3 linked regions of the Arabidopsis thaliana genome follow. The protein of the gene in region 2 interacts with the protein of the main gene of each other region in a biochemical or structural test. Each region holds a gene or a part of one and is shown on either strand. Other genes may lie near its edges. The genes, in order: AT5G20820, ETR2 and AT1G72430.

What was found.
Region 1: the proteins of ETR2 (region 2) and AT5G20820 form a complex in vitro, tested with the Arabidopsis thaliana proteins (one study listed by BioGRID).
Region 3: the proteins of ETR2 (region 2) and AT1G72430 form a complex in vitro, tested with the Arabidopsis thaliana proteins (one study listed by BioGRID).

The regions. Positions count from the first base shown.
Region 1 is NC_003076.8:7,046,226-7,049,091, forward strand, and holds AT5G20820 (SAUR-like auxin-responsive protein family), read right to left. Parts: upstream 1,222-2,866; 5' UTR 1,070-1,221; coding exon 686-1,069; 3' UTR 522-685; downstream 1-521. UniProt on the Arabidopsis thaliana protein: May be involved in the regulation of ethylene receptor signaling. Promotes cell expansion and plant growth. Involved in the regulation of cell elongation.
Region 2 is NC_003074.8:8,252,537-8,258,446, forward strand, and holds ETR2 (Signal transduction histidine kinase, hybrid-type, ethylene sensor), read left to right. Parts: upstream 1-2,022; 5' UTR 2,023-2,488; intron 2,489-2,585; 5' UTR 2,586-2,619; coding exon 2,620-4,386; coding exon of another isoform or gene 4,387-4,434; exon of another isoform or gene 4,435-4,469; coding exon 4,470-5,024; 3' UTR 5,025-5,352; downstream 5,353-5,910. Other genes in the region: AT3G23145 (ATP binding / aminoacyl-tRNA ligase/ nucleotide binding protein), read left to right, coding at 105-290, 417-480, 596-660. UniProt on the Arabidopsis thaliana protein: Ethylene receptor related to bacterial two-component regulators. Acts as a redundant negative regulator of ethylene signaling.
Region 3 is NC_003070.9:27,263,978-27,267,379, reverse strand, and holds AT1G72430 (SAUR-like auxin-responsive protein family), read left to right. Parts: upstream 1-1,573; 5' UTR 1,574-1,870; coding exon 1,871-2,230; 3' UTR 2,231-2,778; downstream 2,779-3,402. UniProt on the Arabidopsis thaliana protein: May be involved in the regulation of ethylene receptor signaling. Promotes cell expansion and plant growth.

The sequences.
Region 1 (2,866 bases), on a different chromosome or scaffold from region 2:
AAAGCCTAAATATGTTTAATCGTTTTTTTTTTCATTCTGCATTTTACCAAATAAAATCAGTTTCTTACATGACTTTTGCCAAAACAAAAATTAAAAAACATCACATGTAGATTTAATTTATTATATTTTTTTTTCTCAGTCATCATATTTCTTTTGCGACTTTAAAAGATGCAAATCCGTCTAGACTTTATCAAAATTATTTATCTATATAATACGTTCATTGTTTAATTGTTTAGTTTGTATGTTTATGTGCAATTGTGCATGACATGCGTGTATACGTATGTTTTTATGGAAAAAAAAAGATACACGGATAAATTTTATAAATATATTTAAATACGTAGGGGCCAATCAATCTAAAGTAGATAAGATGAATTGATTAGGGTTTGAAATTTTGTAGCCCGTGATTGATCTAGTTCACGAAGTCAGTCAAATACAACATTGACATTGCAATTAGTTTTAGCTCTTTGTATAACCATTAAAAAATCATCATTTTTAAACTACATTGCAACTTGCAAGACAATATTTACACATTTAAACATTTATTTTATCGTTGTTGTATCATTTAACAGAAAATAGATTATTTCACGAAATACTATGTAAAGTGTAAAGTATACAAAGTGTAGAATATACAAACATGTAACATTTAATCATAAATATATTTTGAACCTAAATTAATCATAAAGAGTTAACAAGCGTAGAACTCGACAAGTTCGTAGACCGACTCGGGGCGTGACTCATCGGCGTCGGCGTTCTCCAACATCCAAAGCAAATGCTCAAACAAGACAACTTCGCACGACACAGAGATGGAACCGTCCTCGCTGCCGCATCCACCATCCACCGCCGCTAGCTGCTGGAAGAGCGGGTGGCTCACGACATCGGAGCTCACGTGGTATGTCCTCCGTGTTCGGCCTACGTAGACAGTTTGAAGGTCTTCAGAGGGGAACGCACTCACGGCGGAGGATCGGCTGTGATTGGTTTGAGCTGGTGGCTGGTTAGGCTTGGTGTTGAATGAATTGAGTTTCTTCAAAACTGATTTCAGCTTCATCAGTTTGTTTCCTCCTTTCGCCATTACCGATTCGGTTTGGAGAAGTTTGACGTCGGAAATGTAAGTCCGAGTGAGTTTTCCGGTGAGAGAGAGAGAGAGAGAGAAGCGAGGAAGAGGAATGTCGATGTCGAAGAGAGAAAGGAGAATGATGTTCTTATATAACTTGCTAAGGGTAGATTCGTAATTATAGTATTATTATTTTCAGTATAATTTCATGGTTTTAATAAGTTTGAGAACGTTTAGGTTATCAACCGATTTTTGAATAGCCATTATCCAATGATCTAAAAGTTTCCAAGAGCCGGAAGCAATTATTCGAAAAGATTATGATTATGAATTGGAAAGATAAAGCTAAAAGTATATATTAAAACATGCAAACCCACATCACTCCAAAAGTTTTTGTTATCCCAGTCAACCATATACATCATCATTTCCCCATAACCATTTTCTTAAAACTAAATTTGGCTAACGTTTTAACTACGTTGTGGTAAGAACCTTCGAGACTTCGAGTGTGTAAAGTGTAAACTTATATTTTGGATGAATTTTTGTTAAGTTTGGATCTTCATCACATTTGTTTTTGTGTCATTTCAATCCAAATGATGAAGTAACGAGTACCACAAACTTACTAGATTATATGTTCTATTCAATATGTACTTTTCTTCAAAGGATTTTCATAGTATTTATTAGAAACTTTAAATATATTCTCTTTTCTTTCAACGAATTTCAGTTAGATATTTAACTACGACAATTTTTCTTCTAAAAATTTATGGAGTTCCCATTTTTCTCGTTTATATAAAATATAAATTTCTTTGAATGAAGATCATAACAATATAAATGAAGCTGTGAACTTTATGTAATCACTTGATTATAATAAACTAATCCAACAACTAAAGGAGGTTCATGAACTTCTAAAGCGGCTTATTAGTTCTAATTAGTTAGGTAAGTAATTGGCTATCTCTGCTTTTGATTAAAAAAATTATCTTCTCTTTTTTTACACATAACATGTTACAATAACAAATACTATAAAATTGCAAAATTTTGTCATTTTGTTGTGGTTAGATTAGACTCCGACATTATTCATTTGTGAAGTTTATTTATTATTTACGTAGTATTGGCTTCTACTGTTACAGCATGTGAGTTCCGGAAGATTTGTCTTCTTCTTTTTTTACGTAAAATTGTTTATATCATAATCAGCCGACACAAGGGCATCAAATGTCTTTCTAATCATGTAACCAAAATATTAATATGAAATTGGACCTCCTCCTAGTTTGTCTACTTATAATTAATTGAAAAGTTTATCAATCTTCGTAATAAACTAGACATCATATTAATTAAAAGTGTGAGATTTATAAAAGATTGGCGGAAGAGTCCAAGTAAAGATAATATAGAAGAAATTAAGATGAGAGCAACGACCAATCACAGATTTATAGTATCAAATAAATTTGTTAGTGAAAATGTCAAGTTCTCTATTTTTGGGCGGACTCGATCACCTGCCAAAGCGTCAAGCTGTACTAGAGGAACCGTTTAGACGACTGAAGTTTCTTTCCCAAAAGGCCAAAAAACGTTGAAAAACTATCTTATAATGCATATGCATTCATAGTTTACGTTCACCATTGCAGACATATAATCTAAACCTTTGAAAAACCTAAAGCTAGCATGGAACTTACTCATAAAGTTGATACAAAGCTTTAGTTCTTAATATCAGAATTGCCTTAAACAAAGGGGAATGCACACACATGTGTGTTCCCCACTATTTAAGTGGTGCATAGCCCGTGGACAATAAAACCAAACATTTGTTTTGAGGAAACATTTATAAACAATACC
Region 2 (5,910 bases):
GGCTTAACTAATGGAACTTACTAGTGATACCATAATGCGAAAGGTGCTAATTAAGCTTGACAGTGAAGAGGATTCTTATCAAGTTTTGGAAAATTTTAATGGAGATTCCTTGGTTGGGAAGAAGTATGAACCTTTGTTTGATTACTTTTAGCGATTTCTCAAGTGTGACTTTTCGACTAGTAGCAGATGATTATGTCATGAATGATAGTGGTACTGGTATTGTCCATTGTGCTCCTGTCTTTGGTGCAGATGACTATCGTGTTTGTCTTGAGAACGAGATAATTAAGAAGGTTAGATTTGACAACATCTTCCTTATATCACCACCTTTAACATTAAGTTTATTTTCTTTCTTGTTTAAGTTTACAGTATCTTCAAGAACCCATGTTCATGACACATTTTGTTCATGTGTTGTTTAGATTGTCAGAGATTTCAAACGTCCAGATGGTTTGAAAGATACAGAGATTGATGCAGCTGTAGATAGTACATATCTTAATTAAAAATACCACTTCTCTATGCTCTATTGTTGAGGAAACATATAATATTTGCATTCGTTCATGGTTCAGATATGATGTTATGGTAATTCTTGATCTACGAGAAGATGAATCTTTGAAAAACGAAGGTGTTGCCCGTGAGGTAAATAAATGTAACCGAAGCGATTAATGGTCATATATAAGTTGTATATTTGATATATGGGTTTCCTTCTCATTGTGCTCATGCATTGAAAAGCACCCTGTTATGACTGTGGTTCTAGGAGAACATTTGCATTTGACAGTCGGTGACTAATTGTTAAGCAAGAAGAACGCATGAGAGCCTTTTAAAGTGTTTTCTTCTAGATCGTTGCAAAAAGTTAAATGTCTCTTGAGACTTTGTACTCATTCTATAGATAAAGATGGGATTTATTACAAAAACAACAAGAAACTTTGTTACTTGTGGAAATTCAAAATTATCCGAACTAGCTTCACAAAATATGCTCAAGAGTTTCAATGTATTTTTTTTTGTTCTGTAATTGTATGACTCCGTTTGAAGCATCAAGATTATGGTTATAGGTAGTGATGCTAAAACTCTCTGTTGTTACAGTGACCACTAAAAACACCAACAAAAAAAACTTAGGTAACGTGTCGTCTAAAAACTTCTAGGTTCAATTTCTTTAGATAGTACTATCAATAAATAAAATAAATATGTACAAAGGCTTTAAACAATGATGTTTTTCAAAGATGATTGGTAGATACTAATTAGAGCTTCAATATAAAAGAACACATGCGATTCTGACATTCTGTGGTCTAACATGGTTTCTTCTAGAGTCAAAACCATACAATTAAAAGTTAGGAAAGTAATAGCAATGTGGTTTCAAATATATACTCATTACTCTTTAGATTCATGTATGGTGAAGGAAACATTATAATAAAATCAAAGATCACAGTTTTGTAGGTCCCTCATATTAATCAACATCTTAAGGCGTTATACATATCTTCTTTTTGTAAATATTTGACTAATTAAAATATCTAATTAGAGTATTAGACTAATCTCATCAAATATCCGACTACTTGTGTCAGTTCAAAACACAGTGATTACGTTAGATTTTGTGCTCTTTTGTTTATAAACAAAGCTAATTTAAGAAATATATGATCTATTTGCCTCCTTGGTCTTAATTTTATACTTTCTTGGAATAAAACACATTTATTAAAATAATTTTTAGGTTCCTAGATTCATGTCATGTGGCTTGATAGTTTCCAACAATTATACCAATATTTTACTCATTCATATACAAATAAACAAGCTTTATTCTATTCTTCAGTCTCATGATATACGGGATTTTGATAAAATTCAGAGTACCCATTAATTATTCTATGTTACAGCTTGTAATAAGTTAAATTTATAAAACGTACAAGTTGAGGAAATAACAAATGTTTTCAATATTAAATGATTTATTAATACATTAGTGACCAAAAAATTATTAAGTGTAAGAAAAAAAACACAACTCAGAAAAAATTCAAAAGACCGTCTAAGTTCGGTTCATGTAAGAACAAGTGGGACCTCTTTAAGTTTCTAAATCAGAGAATAAAGAAGAAGAAAAAATCTCAAAACCTTCCTCTAAAACCAACGGCTCCTACCTTTACTTACACCCTATACATACACTTCTCTTTTTATCCTCCATCGGCGGCTTATGGCGGTTTTCCGGCACTAATCATCTCCGGCATATATAAATAAACGTACTTCACGTTTTTTTATATAACTTCAAAGTAGTTTCAGATTTGTCTCTATCTCTTCACTTTTAAGTCTTCTGGTTTTGTCATCACCAGCTTTTTTTGTTCTGTCTCTGTCTTTCTCTTTGTGTATTTTTATTCTCGTCATCGTTGTTCTTCTATGAGAGGAAGATCGGAATGTCGAAGAGAATTAGAAGATTCTCGTACATCACTTCGTTGGAATTTCACAGGTCGATGAGAGATCTGAGAACTGTTTCATTTTGATCCAAACTCATCTCTTTCAGGTATTCCAAATTTTTCTTTCTCTGTTCTTTCTACTATTACCCAAATTAAAGTTTTGATTTTTATTTCTCACTCTGTTTCTTGTTTTTCTAATTGCAGAGTATAATGGACTAAGCATTTTTTTTCTCCGAAGATGGTTAAAGAAATAGCTTCTTGGTTATTGATACTATCAATGGTGGTGTTTGTTTCTCCGGTTTTAGCTATAAACGGCGGTGGTTATCCACGATGTAACTGCGAAGACGAAGGAAACAGTTTCTGGAGTACAGAGAACATTCTAGAAACTCAAAGAGTAAGCGATTTCTTAATCGCAGTAGCTTATTTCTCAATCCCTATTGAGTTACTTTACTTCGTGAGTTGTTCCAATGTTCCATTCAAATGGGTTCTCTTTGAGTTTATCGCCTTCATTGTTCTTTGTGGTATGACTCATCTTCTTCATGGTTGGACTTACTCTGCTCATCCATTTAGATTAATGATGGCGTTTACTGTTTTCAAGATGTTGACTGCTTTAGTCTCTTGTGCTACTGCGATTACGCTTATTACTTTGATTCCTCTGCTTTTGAAAGTTAAAGTTAGAGAGTTTATGCTTAAGAAGAAAGCTCATGAGCTTGGTCGTGAAGTTGGTTTGATTTTGATTAAGAAAGAGACTGGCTTTCATGTTCGTATGCTTACTCAAGAGATTCGTAAGTCTTTGGATCGTCATACGATTCTTTATACTACTTTGGTTGAGCTTTCGAAGACTTTAGGGTTGCAGAATTGTGCGGTTTGGATGCCGAATGACGGTGGAACGGAGATGGATTTGACTCATGAGTTGAGAGGGAGAGGTGGTTATGGTGGTTGTTCTGTTTCTATGGAGGATTTGGATGTTGTTAGGATTAGGGAGAGTGATGAAGTGAATGTGTTGAGTGTTGACTCGTCCATTGCTCGAGCTAGTGGTGGTGGTGGGGATGTTAGTGAGATTGGTGCCGTGGCTGCTATTAGAATGCCGATGCTTCGTGTTTCGGATTTTAATGGAGAGCTAAGTTATGCGATACTTGTTTGTGTTTTACCGGGCGGGACGCCTCGGGATTGGACTTATCAGGAGATTGAGATTGTTAAAGTTGTGGCGGATCAAGTAACCGTTGCGTTAGATCATGCAGCGGTTCTTGAAGAGTCTCAGCTTATGAGGGAGAAGCTGGCGGAACAGAACAGGGCGTTGCAGATGGCGAAGAGAGACGCGTTGAGAGCGAGCCAAGCGAGGAATGCGTTTCAGAAAACGATGAGCGAAGGGATGAGGCGTCCTATGCATTCGATACTCGGTCTTTTGTCGATGATTCAGGACGAGAAGTTGAGTGACGAGCAGAAAATGATTGTTGATACGATGGTTAAAACAGGGAATGTTATGTCGAATTTGGTGGGGGACTCTATGGATGTGCCTGACGGTAGATTTGGTACGGAGATGAAACCATTTAGTCTGCATCGTACGATCCATGAAGCAGCTTGTATGGCGAGATGTTTGTGTCTATGCAATGGAATTAGGTTCTTGGTTGACGCGGAGAAGTCTCTACCTGATAATGTAGTAGGTGATGAAAGAAGGGTCTTTCAAGTGATACTTCATATAGTTGGTAGTTTAGTAAAGCCTAGAAAACGTCAAGAAGGATCTTCATTGATGTTTAAGGTTTTGAAAGAAAGAGGAAGCTTGGATAGGAGTGATCATAGATGGGCTGCTTGGAGATCACCGGCTTCTTCAGCAGATGGAGATGTGTATATAAGATTTGAAATGAATGTAGAGAATGATGATTCAAGTTCTCAATCATTTGCTTCTGTTTCCTCCAGAGATCAAGAAGTTGGTGATGTTAGATTCTCCGGCGGCTATGGGTTAGGACAAGATCTAAGCTTTGGTGTTTGTAAGAAAGTGGTGCAGGTGAGTTTCCTTACATATCTCTTTCTAAAGTTCCTGTCATTAGTCTGAGTTTCTGTTTAGGAGTTCTTTGATAATGTGTGCAGTTGATTCATGGGAATATCTCGGTGGTCCCTGGCTCGGATGGTTCACCGGAGACCATGTCGTTGCTCCTTCGGTTTCGACGTAGACCCTCCATATCTGTCCATGGATCCAGCGAGTCGCCAGCTCCTGACCACCACGCTCACCCACATTCGAATTCTCTGTTACGTGGCTTACAAGTTTTATTGGTAGACACCAACGATTCGAACCGGGCAGTTACACGTAAACTCTTAGAGAAACTCGGGTGCGATGTAACCGCGGTTTCCTCTGGATTCGATTGCCTTACCGCCATTGCTCCCGGCTCGTCCTCGCCTTCTACTTCGTTTCAAGTGGTGGTGCTTGATCTTCAAATGGCAGAGATGGACGGTTATGAAGTGGCCATGAGGATCAGGAGTCGATCTTGGCCGTTGATTGTGGCGACGACAGTGAGCTTGGATGAAGAAATGTGGGACAAGTGTGCACAGATTGGAATCAATGGAGTTGTGAGAAAGCCAGTGGTGTTAAGAGCTATGGAGAGTGAGCTCCGAAGAGTATTGTTGCAAGCTGACCAACTTCTCTAAGTTGTTATCTCAACTTCTCTTCTACATTCAAAATTTTTACACCATAGATTTATGTCAAATATATCAAAATGAAATTTCGAAATTGTTATTATATATACCACCCATATCTCTATGATTTGTACATCCTGTTTTTTTTTGTTCTTTTTCTCATTTTGAACCCCACGAAATTGCATTGAATCTTAGTATTTCGTAGGGTCAAGAAGGAGTCAGTTTCGTAGTTTTTTGTTTTCTTTATGTTACGAACTTACGAAACTGAATATGGCATTATAGAGTTTTGAAGATAAATTTTCTTCGTTACTACTCTACATCAAGTTAATTCTCTAGTAGGTATTAGAGCTCTCTTAAATTATCCTGGAACATGAAAAGTTGTAGATAATGTCGTCTGCCACTTTTGTAATAAACTTTTCAAACAAAAGAATCATTGAAAAAAATGTGTGACTTTATTAGTTGTTACCAGTAAAAATCAAAATATAGTAATTATTTGTTAGATTCATGCCCCCTGGACTAGAGAAGATTACATTAAACAAAACTGCACATTCCTCGAGCCTATTAAACTAAAAGAACTGCATAAAATAAAGTAGAAATGGATTGGATTTGCAGAAAGTGAATCTAGGGAAGAGATGGGTTTACGTAACTTGCAATTATATATTCAAACCCACTTGTGCTTATACATTTGTTTCTTCGAACCCGACAATCTTTGACAGATTAGTCTTAATTATTAGTTAAAGTACTAATTATTTGATAACTACAGTGAAAACAATCATGTCCAAATAGATAACCACTCTTCACTTTACACTTTCAAGAATCCAAATATTTCCCCCGGCTGCCTACAGTTATTGCGAGTAAAACAGTTTAGAGAAATAAAGAAGAAGAAAAAAGATTGATT
Region 3 (3,402 bases), on a different chromosome or scaffold from region 2:
CTTTTTAGTAATATTTAATCTAATCCAAAAAAATGAATTTCTAAAAGTATCACACCTTAGAATATTAAGTAATACATGTTGCTACCTTTATATAATTAAGTTATAGCATAACTCGATTTATGCTAATCATTGCAATGATTACGAATCGGAAGTAATTAGTATTCCTAAATTCAGATTGCTTGTTTGTTTCGTGTGATGCCAGTATGTATATGCTGCATATATGCGCGTATCATTTTCCTTTCTTCAAATCTTCAAAAATTCTCTAAGATCTTCACTATTCAAAAATAAAATATTTCACTCTTGATCAAATTGTAGGTCTGGTTTGATGTTTTACTAGCTACATAAGTACATTAAGATAAAGATAGTTATCTAATGTTTAATGATGAGAGAGTACTATATTACTATTTTATTTCTTTTGCTATAAACAAGTACTATATGTTCGACCATTTATAAAAAAGAAGTATCTAAAAATTCCTTAAATGATTAGCTTACCATCCACAACTTTTTTTGTTCGATAAAAGACAGACGGTAAGGTAAGGTCTTCTCCACCTAATTTCTCGGAAATGCCAAACTAACTTTATGAAAAGAATGAGCAATATTTATGATTATGCATTTGCACTAGATAAAAGGACTGTGTCTTGTCGAAAAGAGCATAATATGCTTGTGGTTAGTTTTTGCATCCGTCAATAAAACCTAATTACCGTGTAAATTATATGAGTTTACGAGTTTAATTTTATAGTATGCTTTTTGAATGTTCATATCTAATTTATGTTCTTAATATGAAATGAAGAAAATCGAAGGTAAATCGACAGATGAAGACCATACTTGTTTTCTATAGTACATGATAATATGAACGACAAAAAATTAGCATTATCGGGTAATATTGAACAAAATTGTGGACAAGATGTAATCGTTATCTAAAAAACATCGCTCTTTGTCCGATCATTAGACAACAACACGCAATAAGAGGTTGCCTACACATCTCTACTCACCGCACGTATATGTATATATCTACAAATTATTATATACTATAAGACATCATAATATACAAAATACAATTTAAAAAAAAATTATACAACAAACATGAATGTTTATCAAGCAAGCATTTCCAAAACTGGATTTGTGGTGTCTGACATTTATGTAGGCAAAACAAAATGTCACAGGTAAGAGAAATAGTGTGTATATATAGTATCAAATATATATAAAAAGGAAAAAAAATTGTATCAAATAATTTAATAGTTTTGTTATGTTAAATTAGATAAAATGTTATTTATTATGTATTTTTTATTGATATATATATATATATATATTTAGCCAAATAAATTAATGGTGTAATGATCACTTGTTATATCTGTTTTTTTTAATAGAACGTATTTATCAGTTTTTTCGTAGACCGTATCATTCCCTCATCCATCTATCATAATTTTACAATATTTTTCTTATCAGCAAGTGTAATTTGTAACATGAAAATAAATGAATGAATATGGCAAAATTTATTACAAAATTAAAATTATTACGAATCTCAATATATAATTACAAGATACAACAAAAAAGAAAGAAAAAACAATGGGCAAAAAACGATACTAGTTTTGCCATTTATGTCCTCATCTCTCTTAGCTGTTATGCATCAATCGGTGGGTCATGCACCTATACGTTCTCTCTCTATCTCACTCAATATATATACACGAACCTTCCTCGTTATTTCCTCCCAAGAACATCTCTCAAACATTCCTCTCTTCTTCTTCCAATATTTTGATCCCCACACACACTCACATCAACACATATAAATCTCCTCGTAAACCCTAAACCCTAGCTAGTTTCAACAACTCTCTTGTTCCAACCCCAAGAAAAAAGTTCAATTTCGTTAGCAATGGCCAAAGTTGGGAAGCTGACAAAGCTTAAGTCGGCTATGAAGAAATGGCCTTCTTTCGCCAAGAACCACCACCACTCAACCTCCTCAGCCGCTGTTTCCGACGAACTCTCAGAAGACAACAATCTCCATGTGGTTTACGTTGGTCAAACTCGAAGACCTTACATGCTTAGACCAGACATCATCTCTCACCCACTCTTTCAAGAACTCGTGGATCGGTCTTCTTCTAGATCCATCGAACAAGATCGTGAGATTGTTGTAGCTTGTGAAGTCGTTTTGTTCGAGCACTTGCTGTGGATGCTCAAGTCTGGTCAAGAAGGAGGATCCGTTGAAGAATTGGCTGAGTTCTATACTTATTGACATCGACCGATTGATTTTATACATTTATTTCGTATAATATATACCTTTTTTGTTGTTGTTTGTTGTTGCTGATTTGTATTTTCATTCGATGCGGTGTGTGATCAAAACGTGATCTCGTAAACCATGTCATTTGCTTCCGTTTTTCTGAGCAATTTTATGATGATGATGAGCATATGTAGTTTTCTTACTTTGTTAAGACCAACCAAGAATAAATTTCTACTAACAACAATCTTTATATATATTTTCCTTCAAAATGTATTTCAGTACCTATATTAATTGTAATATACATAAAAAAAGAATGCAATGATTTCAAGAAAACAAACTAAGTTTTCTGGTAGGTTTTGTTTCTATATTTATTTTATTATGGCGGTTTTGTAAACTTTTGTTTCTATTTTCGTAACGTATCTTTCTCATATGAGTCATGAGTCTCATGACATAATAAAGAAGGCCTTTGATGATGTTCGATAAACAAAAGTTGGTTGAATATGATGAGTCCAATTCATTTATTTTGCTTTATATAAACAAAATATGACTAGCAATGATTTCTATCATCGATATTCATTTTTTTTTTTTTTTGCGTATCATTTGTATGGTGTCAGTTTCAAATCTATTTTTGTGTGTGTATAAAATAGAAAATACGTATGCAATTTCTTTTAAGGAAATAATAATGGTCGCTCTCATGACGCGTTGGTGACCTGGTCCCAATTTCATGTCCCTACTCTCCTTTCTAGTTGCAGACATTATATATTTATCTTTTAATATTCTTGAACTTTCAGCCATACAAAATAAATTAAAGCTTACAGGTTAATTAGTCGATATACTAATAAATTTGTAGTTTGTTGTACTAATTGGCATTACTTACACCAACATATGTGCATTAATATACGTTTATAGACATAAATTGGTAGATAAAATAACTGACATTAATTTTCCGAGGTGGGTACGAAAAGGACGCGCAGAATAATTATTGAAGATAAGTATAATTAGTAAGACCAAAATAAATTAATTTCCTACGTAGGACGAAGTTCTAATCATTATAATCAAAGAAAAGAAGTTTCTTTGCTAAGTTTAATTAAGCTTGTTAATTGATTCCGACACGCTAATGATTGACAAGTCACTCGGTGTGTCTTTTCAGCAAACTTCATGGGACTTCTTCTTCTACTTCTGTCTTG